Astyanax mexicanus: one gene and its partner. The protein of the gene in region 1 interacts with the protein of each later gene in a biochemical or structural test. Links are inferred from orthologs where the notes say so. Each region holds a gene or a part of one and is shown in the gene's direction. Other genes may lie near its edges.

Region 1 (7,903 bases):
ATTGGAATGTGGGGAACTAGTCAGAAGCAGGTAGCATAAGCTGGACAGTTGGCAGCTAGTGCTCTGTGCTGGGTAATGGGAAAAACTTATCAGTCCCGTTAGTATTCGACTAGACAGATGAACTATCGGAAAGGTAAAGAGATTAAATTAGTTCTTACTGGTTCTATGAAGTACAGTGAATATGATCAGATTATCAAAGTGTGGCTAACAATTATGTCAGATCTGACTATAACAGCTACCTAAAAGAAAACAGCCAGAAGGTAACATAGACATTATAGCACCCTAAAACATTGACATCCAGACATCCATCCACTCCACTGTCCACAAACCTCAGGATGCCCTTAATGACATTTGTTAAGCAATATATAATATACATCAAGGAATGTAATTTTTACTTTCTTTTTTATGATAATTCGCATTGATTTATTTAACACAGAATTTATTTATTCAAAAGAATGACACAATTGTAAGGCTTACAACAGATTATGTTAAAATTAAAAACAAATTAAAAATGGGATATAAAGCTTAGGTTACAGGAACTGAAAAATATAATTTCACTGTGTTTACACATATATAACTACATTCCAACAAGAACTCAACATGTGCACATTCATATGTCATTAAAATCTCTTGTGTGTTGAAGTGTAAAATATTTCTGCACTGTTTTTTTTCCCTTAGGTCGTAAAAGAAAGTGGTTTAAGATTGACGAGGCTATCCGGGTGCTGCAGTGCCACAAGCCAGTCCACGCGGAATACCTCCGCAGACTCACCCCTCGCTGTGGCCCCACCAATGGCAACAGTCAGGAGCCCACAGCCCTGGACAACAACGCCCCCCTCCACCAAAGCACCTCACAGGACTGCACAGGTCTGCCCCGCTTACACAGATAGAACTGCCAACAGGGGGCAGCTGTGCACCACACACAGGAATTTCTCTTTGGACTGGAAAAAGACTCTTTTTGCATGTATTGTTTCCATGTTTACTATTTGAGAAATGTTTTTTAAATCGTTGAGAAATCAGAGGAGAGCCTGCCTCTGACTTTTGCCTCAAGCTTGTAGTGTGTATAGATTTTCATTTTTCTGCAAGACAGTTTGACACAGCCAAACAAGAGGATGTTGGAATTGAGCTGAAAGTGAAAGCTACAGTGACACTGGTGGACATTTCGGATCGTGATCTGTGGATGGAATTACGAAGAGGTAAAGAGAAAGAGCTGAGATGACTGCTGGATTTATAGTGTTATTTATTCATGGTTTGAGTGGTGGTTTAAAAAAATGAATCTTTAGATAAGAACAGGATAATAAAGATGTGCAAAAAAATACTTGATGTACAAATTCACAACCAAATTGCCAAAAAATGATTTTTTTTTTAAGCTATTTTCTTCCGAAAAATTCTGAAAGTTCATTATTATTTGACTGAGCTTGGTGCCTTTAAAAGCAGTCAACACTCTTACGCATCCTCAAGTTCACTGGGATGTGCCTCTGATTGCTTTAGAAGACTTTAGTGCTATTTTTTGCCTATGTTCTAAATCTAAAATGCTGTAAGTTGTTTTCACGGGTTGATCTTAAATGTGAACTCAACCTATTAAACAGCTGTTTATTAACTGCTTTCTGTGTGTCCCAACAATCTTGAAACCTATTTAATGCTGGCGACTGTGCCTCAACTTTTGTTGTTATTGTTTATAAATATCTTCTCAACAGCCCTGGATCATTGAATGGTAAAAGACAATTGAGGCAAGAAAGCTTTTGATCTTCAAATTCTTTAAGTATTGTCATTATGCTTATCCACTTGTACAGTATAATACAATGATCTCTGCATATTCCAGCTGGGAAAACTAGGATCAGAGTGAAGGGCCTTTCCTACAGTAGCATTTGAGTGAACCTGGGTCTAGAACCAGTAACCCAGCATTCTGGTGACTGAGCCACCAATGCAGTCAGTTAAGGCAATGACTGAACATTAAATTGGGTCCCTGCCTGGGTTATTTGGCTCTTTGCTGTGGTGGGAAATATGTTTAATGTGGTTATTGTGAATGAAAATGCAACCAAGGCAACCAAAATATATTATTTCCAAGCTGCTAACCTTGGGTTAAACAATGAACATTTGTATTAACATTTTACCTGAAACTGCCAAAAACTGCCATATGTCATTTCCACCTTTCATTTTGCTAATGACCTTAATAAATGAAAACTACTACTCTCTACATGATACACCTGTGATTGACATTTACCTAGAATTCACATTGTATTTCTAATAAATGATAATGAAATATAAAGACATTGATGACTTCAATTGCAAAATGTTCATTTATACTCTATACAATTATTGGCAGTTTTTAGTAAAATATGTTTTTTTTTCTAGTTAGGGGGTGTCCTGCCCATTATATGTTGTGACTACAGCCATGATTATTAGTCCTACAAATGACTGAAGACAAATTTCACCAATCATGTCTTCACTAATGCATTGGATTTTGATTTTGTCTTCACTGGTTTTTATTGGATAAATAAATGCTGTATATGCACTTGTGGTTGAGAAAGAAAGGATATATGATGTAGATACCAATGTATGCAGTCTTTGTATGCAATATTCAGGCTACAGATGTTATACGAAAAATCTATGGTCATCTGTGTTTGAGGAAGATTAGGTCAAATTAGGTCCTTCAGTTTGGGCAATAAGTGCCCAAAAAACACCTTACTAATAATTCAAATGTCTGGTAGACCTCTTATTAATATTCTGAAAATAATACATTAGCACTAACATTAATACAGTGGAACTTTTTTGTTGTTGTTCCAGATAAAAGGTGGGTCCCGATAAAACCACTTTGAAGAGCCGTAACAGTAGTTACACTACAACTGGTAGACTACAGTCACACAGGTAGCTATGACTTCCAGAAAGCCCAGAAGAAGAGGTTTTTTTTCTCATGAATTCTGTTCCACCCACTGGTTAATTCCTCTTTCAGTTCCTGATTATGCTGCTGGTTAAACTGATGTATTTAGCTCTTCAATTCTGTTCTTAAAGTCAGAACAAAACAGAAGAGGAGCAAGTTGGATTAAATCTAAACAGATTTCCATTCATCTACGTCTCTGTTTCTTCGTGATACCTGGAATAATCACTAGGTAAGAGGCAAGGATACCTCCAGGACCAGATGCCAGTGCAACACAGGGTACTACCTACTCATTCATTCACACTCAAGTTGGTGGCAATTTGACTACAATTTGTGTTTTTGATAGTTGCAAATGGAAATGTAACAACTGTGTGGCAACAAGTCAGATTCGATTTAATATTTTTACATTTATTCGAAAATTACTTAATTGTGAAACTGCAACGACATGCGAATGCCATGATAATTCCAGACTTTACATATTGTCTGACAAGTTGGGTATAGGCTAACAAATCTACACTGAAGCCACTTGATATTTAAACACACTCTTGAGTGTGTTTGCCCACTCTTGGTATTTTAATCTTAGTGGCTTCATGAGGTAGAGTCACCTGAAATAGTTTTCTCAGCGTCTTGAAGGAGTTCCTGGGGGTCCTGAATAATAGTTGCTGCTTTTTTCTTCGTGCTGTGAAGCTTCAGCTCATCCCAAATCAGCTCAAATCACCATCTCAGCTGATACGGTTTAGGTCACATGATACTAAATAATGTGTCCCTAATTTTCATGTCTTTGATTTTAATCTACAAAATAAATAAATGTAAAATAAAATATAAAAAGAAATATAAAATAATAAATAATAAAATAAATAAAAAATAAAATAAATAATACAATTAAATAATACAAATATATATATAGAAAAAAAACATTGGATGAGAGAATGTGTCCAAACTGTTGGGATTTGAAATTGAATGGCAGTTCCTCCTCACTGTCTGAAATGCTTTTCTGGGGGAGAAATCTTTGTGTTTGTGTCCTTAATGTTCAAAGCTGTTTTACACCACAAAATAAGCTTTTTGGTTAGAGGATAAATTCTGGTACTTCATATTTGCGGTCTTGTAAAGCAGGCCTCGCTGTTTCTCCATTTCTCCCTGTAATAAATAACTGGAATTGAATGCTGTCAACAACTGGATCAATTTTACTGTTGCTTCAGAAGAGTCCACCTCCTCCTCCATACGACCCGGTAGGTGGTGGACATGTGTGGTCTGGCAAGAGTGGAAAATACCATCGTGTGTGATGAGCAGAAGTGGGTAACCCTGGGACCTGGGTTACCCACCTCTAGTAATGAGTGACTACAGATGAATGTGCTTCTATTGGAGGGAGGATTGGATTTTAGAAATAGGCAAATCAATAGTTATCAAATAATAACCGCTGAACTTTGTGTAACATTGTTCATTGTGTTCATTATGTTTGTGCAGAACCAAGCTAATTTATTTTGTACATTAGTATGTCCCTCTAAAACGGTTGCAATTTCTCATGTGGCCTCTTGGGAAAATGAATTGCCCACCCCTGGTCTAAAATGGTCAGTGTAACATTTATTAGTTTAATTTTCTGACTGTACCAAGCTTAAATAAAAAATAAGGTATAAAACTTCATATTTTTTCCATTTTGTTTAGTGAAGAGTTAATTCACTAAAGTCATTATTTAGTTTTTTTTTATTTCAGCCTTACACAAACATAATTTCGAGAAAAAAATAAAAGTTTTATCTTCTCTTGATAATCATATTTGCCCATTTTTGTGTCTTGTAACACAAAGCTGATGTTATAATCCAACTTGGATGAAAAAGTATTTCTTGTACACTGCACGACATAAAAAATGTTTTTATTTCCAATTTTCTAATTTTGCATTTTTTTCTCAAACGGTCAGAAAATTAAGCTGCTAAATGTTACACTGACCTGAAATATCAGTTTTTAACCGAAATCCTGCCTGAGTGCCGAGTCCCTCCTCCCTCCTCCACGCAGCTCCGCAGACCCGCCTACCCACTCATGTGCTGCTGGTTGACGCTGCGGTGCGCTGCGCTCCGGGCAGGTGGAAGGAAACACCCGAGAATAACATTATACACCAGCGGAGAAAGACCTCCTGACTCGTGACAGTTTAAACTACAGAAAAACAACGAAACCAAAATGTTCAGACGAATATTACAGATGGTAAGAATAAAGGAGAATCCTGCAACGAGGCTGCATCAGTAGCTATGGCTTTAGTATGTTTAGCTAGCTGGCTAAGCTAGGCTAGTTTTGCTAACGTAGCGGCCGTCAGTGGAGGCTTGAATGGAGGCCTGTATTAAAAAGGCAGTAAGAAATAGCTAAGCTAGCTAAGCAGGGGTGTGTCTATTAAACTGCTATTTTAAAACATATATAGTAGGTCAGTAGCTAAATGTAGCTGCCAGACAGGGCAAAACAACGCAAAATTGCTTGTTTACTGTTATGTACTGCCCTGTAAACAGTACGTTAGCTAGCTAACTTACTAGATAGCTAGCAGGCTAGGCTAGCTAGCTTTAGCCTAGTAACTGTGACTAGCCGTGGTGCCGAAAGGCTAGTAACGCTAGCTCAAGCTATAAAGCTGTCATGGGCTCATTCTGAAAGGTTTCAACTAAATAATGTTAAGTTCACCCAGTTTATTAGTCGTGGGAGTAATATTAGTTGTTGAATTAATGAGAGAGAAGTTTGTTTCGTTGTTGTCAAGTGTTTTTCATTTATTCCAGGGGCTTGTGTAATGGTTTACTGCATTCTGTTGAATGTTGGCCACTTTCTGTTTCTGTCTGTGACTGACCAGCTTCTTCACTGTAGATTATCTAGGTTAACTACTAATGCATCTAAAAAAAATGTTATCATTCATTGAAAAGTTACATAACTACTTTAGTAATTCAGTGCAAATGGTGAAAATCATATATTATATAGATTTATTACACACACACACACACACTGATCTATTTTAAGTCTTTATTTGTTTTTTTGTTTATGATTATGGCTTATAGCTAATGAAAACCAAAAAATCAGTTTATGAGAATATTGAAATATTATCTATATAAGACCAGTTGGTACTATTGGCAAGCTTAGCAATGTGCCAAGTCCTACTGAAAAATGAAATCCACATCTCCATAAAGTTGTCAGTAAAGGGAAGCATGAAGTGCTGTAAGATTGTCCGGGAAAATACTGCACTTTTTTTGTACTTGATATAACACAGTGGACCAAGACCAGCAGATTTTCCCAGTAATTCTTGCAGCACTTCATGCTTTCCTCTACTCACAACTTTATTTAGATGCGGGATTCATTTTCCAGCAGAATTTAGCAAGATGTCCACACTACCAAAAGTACCGGTTGGTCTTATATTATATTCTTCTTTACTAAGACACTGATTTTTGGGTTTTCATTGCCTGTATGGCATAATAATCAAACATAAAAGAAATTCATGTTTATAATTTAAACAGCTTTTAAATCTTATGGCAGAAGTAATCGTTGACTTATTTAAAAAAATAAATAATCAGATTAGTCAACTACCAAAATAATCAGTAATTGCAGCCCTACTTGACTGGTCCTTTTAAGAAAAATGCAGTAGGAGATGGGTATCCGTGTGCTAAGACTTGTTTGTCTCATTGCTGGATTGGGAAGGATAAGGGTGGACCAGTATTTGGACACATTCTACTGTCATTCTATTAGAAGACTTTTTTTATTAGACATGTTGTAAAAGCAAGTTTACAGTGTTAATACAAGCAAGGAAGAGCCAAATTGTCTTAAGCACATCTTTATTGTGACAGAACACTTTAAGGGGCAATTTTACCAGATAGAAATTAAGCCTAGTTTTGGACTATGCAGCATTTGAACTGAGATTTTCCATTGAAAGGAAACCTTGTCTCTGTCAGGGAAAACAGCCTAAGTGTCTGTCCCTTGTCTCTATGTTAAAGTAATGTCTGAGGGGAGAAAGGCTACTGGCTGCTGTTAGTACAAAAGTATATTCATTACTCCTAAAATGTGTCCCGACTATTATATAATTAAGTATAGTTACAGAATGTATTTATTATTAGGTTTATTAGGTTTTAATAGCCATCTAAATAAACATTGGCTCAGACAACAGGAGATCTCTCTTGATGCCACAGCCATCTGTAGCCAAGAGTTCCGAGCACAAGAGTACAGTTGGCCTAGGATGGCCCTCTCCCACTACATCACTTGGGGAGATGTTTCGTCCCACAAGCCCATTCAGCTGTCCAGTTTTGGAAAGATAGTTGGAAAAGGAACGGTTGACTGGCACATGCTTGCCTTCTGGTTGCATTAGGAGATGGTGTTAGAAGTTACTACGTGAGCGAGAGAACTGGGGCATTACAATAATCTGAAGCCCTTTTGGAATGACTCATTTCCCTGGAAAACCAGTGGGCAAGTGTTGCATTGTTATTTTAATACAACTTACTCTTACTGCACTGACTTTGATTTAGCCTACTTGGAAAAGTGAGTGACATGCCATGTGGTGTCGTGTAATATTGTTTGAATCACCAGTGGCTGCTGTTTTCCGGTTGCTAGGGTCAGTGTTTGGTGAGGAGAAATGTATAACGCTTCTCTTAAGCAGTATTATGTTTCAAGTATATCCTCAAATGTCCCTAATCAACAGCCATGCCAAGTGCAACCATAAAGGGCACAATGCTGTCACACTATTTTTTTAAAGTTCACCTTCCGCGAAAATCCGATTTTTCTTGTTTTTTGTGGAATACAGTAGGTCTCTCCGAGTTGAATGTGTACACCTGCACATTAAACTGTTTTGCAGCCCCCATTGTCTGCAGGAGCTAAGCAAAGAAATCCCCCCTCCCCCCCTCCGAAAAACGGGTGAATTTTGAATTATCTTTCTGCCTACGTAGGCAGAAACTCACAGACCAGCCCACCTTGGCTCGAGAAACTCCCAGAGGCGGAGCTGAAGCGACGCAACATCACCGCTCATCAGTTAGGAGGTGGGAGGCAGTGAGCGGCAGAGCGGTGGAGGGGCGTCGCAGTGCTCCT
Region 2 (7,953 bases), on another chromosome or scaffold:
TTATTATTATTATTATTATTACTTGTAATTTCCTTCTGCAGAACAAGAACACCCACCTGAACCAGGCCATCCACGAAGAGCAGGAAGCCATCCTGGAACTGCGCGTCCAGCTCCGCCTCCTCCAGAGCCAGAAGCTTCAGCAGGAGCTCACAGCTCCTCCCACAGCAGAGCAGGCCCCTCCTGTACAGCCCAGCCCTGAAGAGCGATCCAGGGTGGAAGAGCCAATTAAACGCAGCGCACCCGCTGCCATAACAGCCCCGGGAGATGCCACAGCAACTCCTTCTGCAGCTCCAGCCAATGGGAAGCCTGGAAAGGACACTTTAAAACCTTCACCTAGTAAAACGTACACCGCCAGTCAGAATCCACCACTGTAATTTAAATGCCCCACTGGGTTCTCTTCCTTTTTCCTGTATGTCGTGTGACATTAGCCTCTAGCATCACCTGCAGGCGTCTGCTGAGAGTTCAGTGAAGCTGAACTGAATTTTCGGGACCACAAACTTTAGAAGCTTTAGGAAGGCAAGTCATTGGATCAAGTTATTGATCAGTCAACCAATGGCAGGTGAGCAGGGGTGCCTTTTTTTGTTTGTTTGTTTGTTTTTTCTTTTGTTTTTGGGAGAGAGAGGTCATAGTGCCCTAAAGGACCTTTTTTAATCCTAAAAAGAAGCCAAAAGGAAGTTTCTTTACAATGAGATCTCCCTGTGTTTAATGTCTTAAAACCGTGGTCTTCAGCTCTGCCCCTGTATAGCTGTAATCTTATCTTATGCTCCTTTTCAGCTATGTCGGAAGTCAGATGTTGATATTTGAATTTAAACATTAAGATAATTGTACACCAAATCACTTTGGAGTTTAATACAACTGGCTTGACAATCATTTACTGGTGTGAAAATTATAGTGAAAATTTGTCCAAGCCAAAATATGTCCCAGGTTAGCATTGTTAGCATAGATTATACAGTATTTTGCACATGTCTACTGATATTAGTGGGACAGTAGTGAGTGCACAATTGAGTTAGTGAGACAAAATTGATAAAGAAGTGGTAATAAACTGTACACTATTATTCCATTATCTTTCCTAAATTTCCGGGTAGGAAATCTAACTTTTGGGGCTGTTACAGTTCAAATTTACTGCTTTAACTGCTTTAAATTACAAGATGCGAGTTTAAATGTAATAAAGCATAAGGCGCCGATACTATGACCCAAAGATCTGAGGTTTGAACCACTTGTCATTCTGCTTGAGCCTGAAAGAGCTCTCCTGACTTTTTTGAAATTCTTTAGAAATTCCTACTTTAAAATGGACAATTTTGATATTTGAGACGTCCAAATGGAACACCGCTTAAATCCTGCCTTTAAAAGTCCTTAAACTAGCTTGGTGGGTCTCCAGGAGGAGAACAGAAGACCACTGTCTTAAGACAGCTAAGGATTTCCATTATGCTTCAAATAATAAATAATTATGTGAATGTATTTTAAACGAAAAGTTAACTCTCCTCATTGAGGTACACTCCTAAAAATAAAGTTACTACAAGTGGTTCTTTTAATTAATGCCACAGAAACAAACAAACAAAAAAAACTTATAATTTAACTTTTAAAAATCACATCTCTACTTAGAACCATGTTTGTAACAAAGCCAAGCAAAGTGGTTCTATTCTATGACATCAATCTAAGAAACGGTGAAAAATCTTTGTTTTTAGGAGTGTATTGACTTAAAAAGAGGATTTTTGTGGAGAATAGTGGTCCCAATATGCTCTTATTCAAGTGAACAGAAGAGGTGTGTGTGTATGCATGTGTGTGTGTGCGTGAGAACCAGATTAAGATATGAAACCACTGTGCCATATGTGAGTGAATGCAACCATACTGAAGTTTTTCATTGAAGAAACTGTTGAGACAAAGACGTTAAGATGCTATATTGCTATATTATATATTTAGGGAAATAAATGACAGAGGGTAATTTGTAGTAATTAATTATGATTAATTAAGTATGCCATTTATTTGGTTTTATATGAATATATGCAAAGGTATACAAATCTACAAGTCCTCAAATAGAAGCAAGCGAATAGAACCAATTTAAGCATGATTTCTATTTATTTTATTTTATTATTATATTGGAGTAAAAAAAAAAATCAAACATATCAAATTTGCCATAATCTTAATAAATGCCACATTATTATGTTTTCCTGCTAATCTTTCTTTTAATGTTTAGTCAATGGCCAATACAGATCTGTGTAAACTGTGTAAAACTCATTCTACACTTTAAGACCCCGTTTACACCTGATTACTTCATATTGAGTCTTGAGTATCAGGATTATATCTGGATTAGGTCAAATTGAGTGTAAACAAATACAAATCTGATCACTCAAACCACTTCAGGGGGTGATCTGAGACTCATCAGAGCCACATGTTATAGCAGTGTAAACACATCTGTCTCTCCAAGACAAATTCTACAACCAAAACTCCTCCCACTAGAACCGAACCAGTAATGATTGCCATGCCATGAACAAATTTGCATATTCCATCCAACAGTCTGTCACAGCCAATCAAATTTCAGTATGACTAATCGAATACACATATACATCTACCAAGTGTAAACATGTGGCTAAAATCTAATCAGAATTCAATCCAGATACTTGTCACATCATGTAACCAGGTGTAAACGGGGTCTTAGTCATGATAAAGCACAAAAAGAGTATTTTTGATGGACGATAGAAAGCTTTATGTTTTGACTGAGAAAGATTAAGGTGAATCGTGGTTACACTGTAGGGCTGTGGTGTTTATATAAATATATTACACCTAACAACATGCATAGACATGTTTTTGTTCATTAAATGAATATAGATAGATTGATATATGGCAATTAACTCCAGTTTGTTACCAGTGCATTAACCATGGTCACGACATTATCAGAATAATCTACGGGATGAGTACAACAACAACCCTGTTTGTCTGAAGTCATTGTTTAGTTATGAAATTAATTATGAAGTTGTTTAAATAAATAATATTACTTATTTTGTGATTGTTTAGGGGGAAACTCCCCCAAAACATGTTCTCCTGGCACACTGAGAATGGTGTCTTTTTCTCTAAACGCTACTTCTGCTTAAGCTTTCTTTATCTGTGTCTTTTTTTTCTCACTTTCTTTTCCATCAGTTGAGAAGTTCTCTATATCTGCAGTTCTGAATACTGTTAACTGTTTTCCTTTGTACTCCATTGTGTGTGGATAAGCTTCTTTTCTAAAATGACTGATTGCAAAGACAAATCTACTCTCTCTAAAATTATTTTTCATGCTTGTTCATGTTTTGTCTGTTGTTTTTTTGTAGCTCTTTGTCCTTGCTAGAAGAATGATGCTGTACTAAGTAATAAAGTGTCTGGAAATCAAGTTTAATATGAATAGTGTCTAATGGATTAAGAATGTATAGCGATTATTGCATTAAATAGCAGAATGAGTACAGCGGATGCTGGTATCTTGAGTTTAAATGATGTCTGATTTCTGTGTATACAGCATTTCTGTCTGAATAAGACCTTGTTTGTATAAAACAGTAACTTTAAAGGTCAAAGAAAAGACATTGTTCAGTTTCAGATGAAGTTAATTTAATATTATTTTATCCCAATTTTAGACCATTAGTGGTGGTCCATTTATCATTGCTCGTTGTAAAAAGCAGCCAGATTTCCATAATCACGGTATGTAACCCCCACGGTTGTTTTAATTATTTTTCTCAATATATTAGTAATCAGATGACATGGTGGCGCTACAGGTAATGCATGTCTGAAAACCTGTATTCCCCTCTTACACCCAATAATTCCAGGTGGGCTGTGGACCTGCTGCAACCCAGACCAGGTAGTAGCGAATATGAAGATGTTCAAATTATATATGATATATGATAATGTTGTTATACAGAAGAGCTAGTATTAAGACCTAGTGCTTGCCTCATTTTCCTCTTAGTGTGAACAAATTTATTATTTTGATTTGACTCTTTTGGATGAATCCATGAAACCAATAGAAAAAGAGAATCATCCCGTGTTGTGTTTTTCTAGTCAGATGTTTGTATCTTTTAATTATTTATAAGATCAAGCAGGAAAATTGAAAACTTCTGGAATATAATCAAGAGGAAGATGGATGATCACAAGTCATCAAACCAAACTGAACTGCTTGATTTTTTACACCAGGATTAAAGGCATAAAGTTATTCAAAGGCAGTGTGTAAGACTGGTGGAAGAGAACATACATGATAACTGTGATTAAAAACAGGGTTATTCCACCAAATATTGATTTCTGAACTCTTAAAACTTTAAAAAATATGAACTTGCTTTCTTTGCATTATTTGAGGTCTGAAAGCTCTGCATAATTTTTTGTTATTTCAGCTTGTTTTCATTTTCATTCTGCAAATAAATGCTCTAAATGATAATATTTTTTATTTGGAATTTGGGAGAAATGTTGTCTGTAGTTTATAGAATAAAACAACAATGTTCATTTTACTCAAACATAAACCTATAAATAGTAAAATCAGAGAAACTGATTCAGAAACTGAAGTAGTCTCTTCATTTTTTCGAGAGCTGTATTGATATTTTAAAGTCACTGAAATATGAATCTAGCTAACTAACTCAACCGAATCTCTTGAAAATTGAAAAAACGAAAAATCTTCACTGAATCGGTTCGCTGAGTTGACTCATCATTTCAGTAGTTACAGATTTATGAATAGAGAGTGAATAGAGTGAATAGAGAGTGGCTCAGCCAGCCACATATAATGTGTGTATATTGAACTGAATCGAATAATAAATAACTAAATAAAATTATTTAAAAATGGTGCCCTCTTTAGTTTTTTTTTTTTTACTAAAAATAAAAAACGGAAAATCTTCAATGAATCGTTTTGAGCGAATCGGTTCGCTGAACTGAATCTTTTTTTCTCAGTTCGGACTTCCGCAGAGATCGACACGGAGCGTCACGTGACCCGGGGGACAGCGCCGCGGTGGTGTCGTGTTGCGGCGGCGGCGGCTGGGTGTTCCGTTAGCGGGCTGTGTTCCGTTAAGAGTCGGGAGGTGGTGCGCGGAGGTTTATTAGAGGAAAGGCCGCTGTGAGGAGGATCTGATACCGGAGATCCAGCGGACAGCGCGCGGGGATGGTGAGGATGATCATGCTGGAGCTGCTGTAGGAGGAGAAATGGCCATCAGGGAGCTGAAAGTGTGTCTCCTCGGGGTAAGTTCACAAATTCCCCAACTCTCCTCAGCATTCCTCCGCCTGTCTGCGGTCCGGATCCTCACACACCCGGTGATCCGTCCAGTTCTGCTACCCATCGATATGTGCTTCTTATCCGCACTACGCATGCGCTTACACACATTTTCCACTGTTTTTTGTTAGTTTTTCAAGATATTAGAGATAATTCTGTCATTCTGTTTTCCTCCGATGCTTTAAACGTTTCTATCTGTTATTATTTTCTCACGTGTTACAAATCTTTCAGGCAGTTAATAAACAAAAAAAACACAAAATAAACATTTAAAAAATACCTTAACTTTAACTTTACTAATGATACACTTATTTAGCCCTTTCAAATATCCTGGCTACCTTGTGTGGATCATAAAAGCTAGCCATAACATGTTTTGGAACCTCAATAAGTTAAAGTTAAATTTACTCAGATTTTTTTAATAAACTTTAAAAGTTGAATTTATCTTTATTTATTTTTATTTATCAGTTTGAGTTCTAACAATGCTTGTGATGTAATTAAATGTGCATATAAAAAAAACGGATTTTTTTCAGATAAAAAAAACCTGTTTGATATTTTGTTATATTTTGTATAAAAAAATAGTTTTTATTTCATAATTTTGAATCAGTTTGAGTAGAATTTGTGTTTTTTTAATCTAAAAATCAGATTTAAAAAAATATATATTTACTTTAAAATGTATTGCACCATTATGTTACATTATACCAGCTCACAAGTTCTAAAAACAAAAACAATGTGAACTACAAATCATATTTATAAATTTATAAATATATTTAATTTTGAACATTAAAAATTTTGACTTAAATACTTATATCATAGAACCTCTATAATCTGGACTCGTTCCTGGAGAGTGTTATCTATAATGTGCGGCTTTTTTGTATTTATCTTTAAATACACAGTAGGGTAGCACGGTTTGACAGGGTAGCAGAACTCGGCAGAACACCGGCGACTGAGAGCCAGAACCGTGCTGTGGACCGAGCACCGGTTCAGTTCGGGCTGTTTAACCCCGTTAGCTTAGCATAAGATCTTCTGTCTAAACTGTAGAGCTGCAGCTGCTGGTTCTGAGAGGTTCTGCTGGCAGTGACTGGGTCAGGACTCGGTTCTGCTGTAACTGTGGGTTTGGGTTCTGACTGTTGGGCCTATTTTAAGCTCAGTTTTGGCCTCGTATTGTTGTTTTGTGGGAGTAACAATGGGATTAGGGTTTTAAAGCAGATACATTAGACTTCAGAAGAGTTTATTTAAACTAAAATAGTATGTATAGAAAATCCAGAGCAAATTATAGCTGAGCAGCCATTACGTCATGGTCCAGCTTAAAGCAGACAACAAACCAGCAGAAGGAGCAGCAGCTCTTTTGACATGGGCCTGAGGTCAGTTTAGGCCTAAGAGCTGGATCTTAAAGAACCTACAGGCAGAAAAAAGTCAATAGAGTACAAAAAAGAGTAGCTAAAAGTCAAACTAGAAAGGGTTAAGTTGGGGAAAAACACTAATAACATTGAAAAAGGTTTATAAAAAGCTGTAAAAGTCAAGCTATATAACTTTATATCCATTAGAAGCTACCTTAAATCCAGTGTTATCTTTTTTTCACTGCCACCTTACATCCTTAAATAGTAGCAAAGCTATTTAAATGCTGCAGCTGAGCTTTACATTTGTAAATAATTGTTAATCTGGTGTATACGGATGACTGTAGAATGTTGTAAGGCAGGTCACACAATGCAATGTCACAAGATTTATTTCAACGGATTGAAATATTGCATTAATCACATCCCAAAGATTCTCAATGATGATGATCTCATGCTCCCTGAATCACTGTTTCAAAAATCCAGCCCCATGAATCCTGACATTGTCATCTTGGAATATGCTCATATCATCAGGGAAGAACAAATCCATTGATGGAATAACCTGGTCTATATTCAGTATATTCAGGTAGTCAGCTGACCTCATTCTTTCAGCACATACTGTTGCTGAACCTAAACCTGCAGACCAACTGCAGCATCAACCCCACATCATTTACTTACTTAAATCCAGGTGGAGACTTTTTTTTTTGTCCATGCAGTGTATACTGCTGTTGAAGTAGCGCTGGACGATATGGGCAAAATTTATACGACGATATATTCCTTAATTTCGGTCGATACGATATAATTTAGATATCGATATTAATACCTTGAAAGCCTCTGAAAAACTACTCCTGCAATGGAAATCTGTACCTACTACTGTCTGAAAATTTTATTTAAGTCTTTGAAGCCTCTTTTCTGAGTTTAATAGAGCTATTTCTAGTTCTAGTTATTTCTCATCATTTCAACACCTGGTTTGGTAAATTGGTAAATGTGGTAAATCAGGTGAGCTGCTGACGGAACTGAACATATACACATGCTGGCTATGTTTTTATAAATTGCTGCCCTGATTACATAAACCGTTCCCTCAATTTTTTTAATTGTTCCCTCAATTTAATAACCCATTTTCTTAATTTCCCATTTCCCTAAATTCCCTTGATTTAATAATTAATTCCCTAATTTTAGTAAATCATCACCTTAATTGCATTAACCTTTTTATCCTTGATTTGATACACTATTCCTTTCCTTAAACAATCAGGCCAGTAATCTTAAAATCAGTGTCATATTAAATCACTTCACTCAGCATCTGTCAGTACAGCAACTGAAGTGTGTTATCTTATTGAAGATCTTTTGTCTTTCTAAAATAAAAGTCATAAGTGTGACCAATCACAAAGCAGTGCAGCTGCTGTTGCCAGGGATACA

Evidence for each region.
Region 2: the proteins of eea1 (region 1) and rab31 form a complex in vitro, tested with the Homo sapiens proteins (2 studies listed by BioGRID). The link is inferred for Astyanax mexicanus from reciprocal best matches to the Homo sapiens genes EEA1 and RAB31.

Annotation. Positions count from the first base shown.
Region 1 is NC_064416.1:21,084,817-21,092,719, forward strand, and holds the start of eea1 (early endosome antigen 1), read left to right. Parts: upstream 1-4,888; 5' UTR 4,889-5,044; coding exon 5,045-5,068; intron 5,069-7,903. Other genes in the region: nudt4a (nudix (nucleoside diphosphate linked moiety X)-type motif 4a), read left to right, coding at 679-887. UniProt on the Homo sapiens protein: Binds phospholipid vesicles containing phosphatidylinositol 3-phosphate and participates in endosomal trafficking.
Region 2 is NC_064411.1:46,539,842-46,547,794, forward strand, and holds the start of rab31 (ras-related protein Rab-31), read left to right. Parts: upstream 1-4,936; 5' UTR 4,937-5,142; coding exon 5,143-5,178; intron 5,179-7,953. Other genes in the region: ralbp1 (ralA-binding protein 1), read left to right, coding at 42-374. UniProt on the Homo sapiens protein: The small GTPases Rab are key regulators of intracellular membrane trafficking, from the formation of transport vesicles to their fusion with membranes.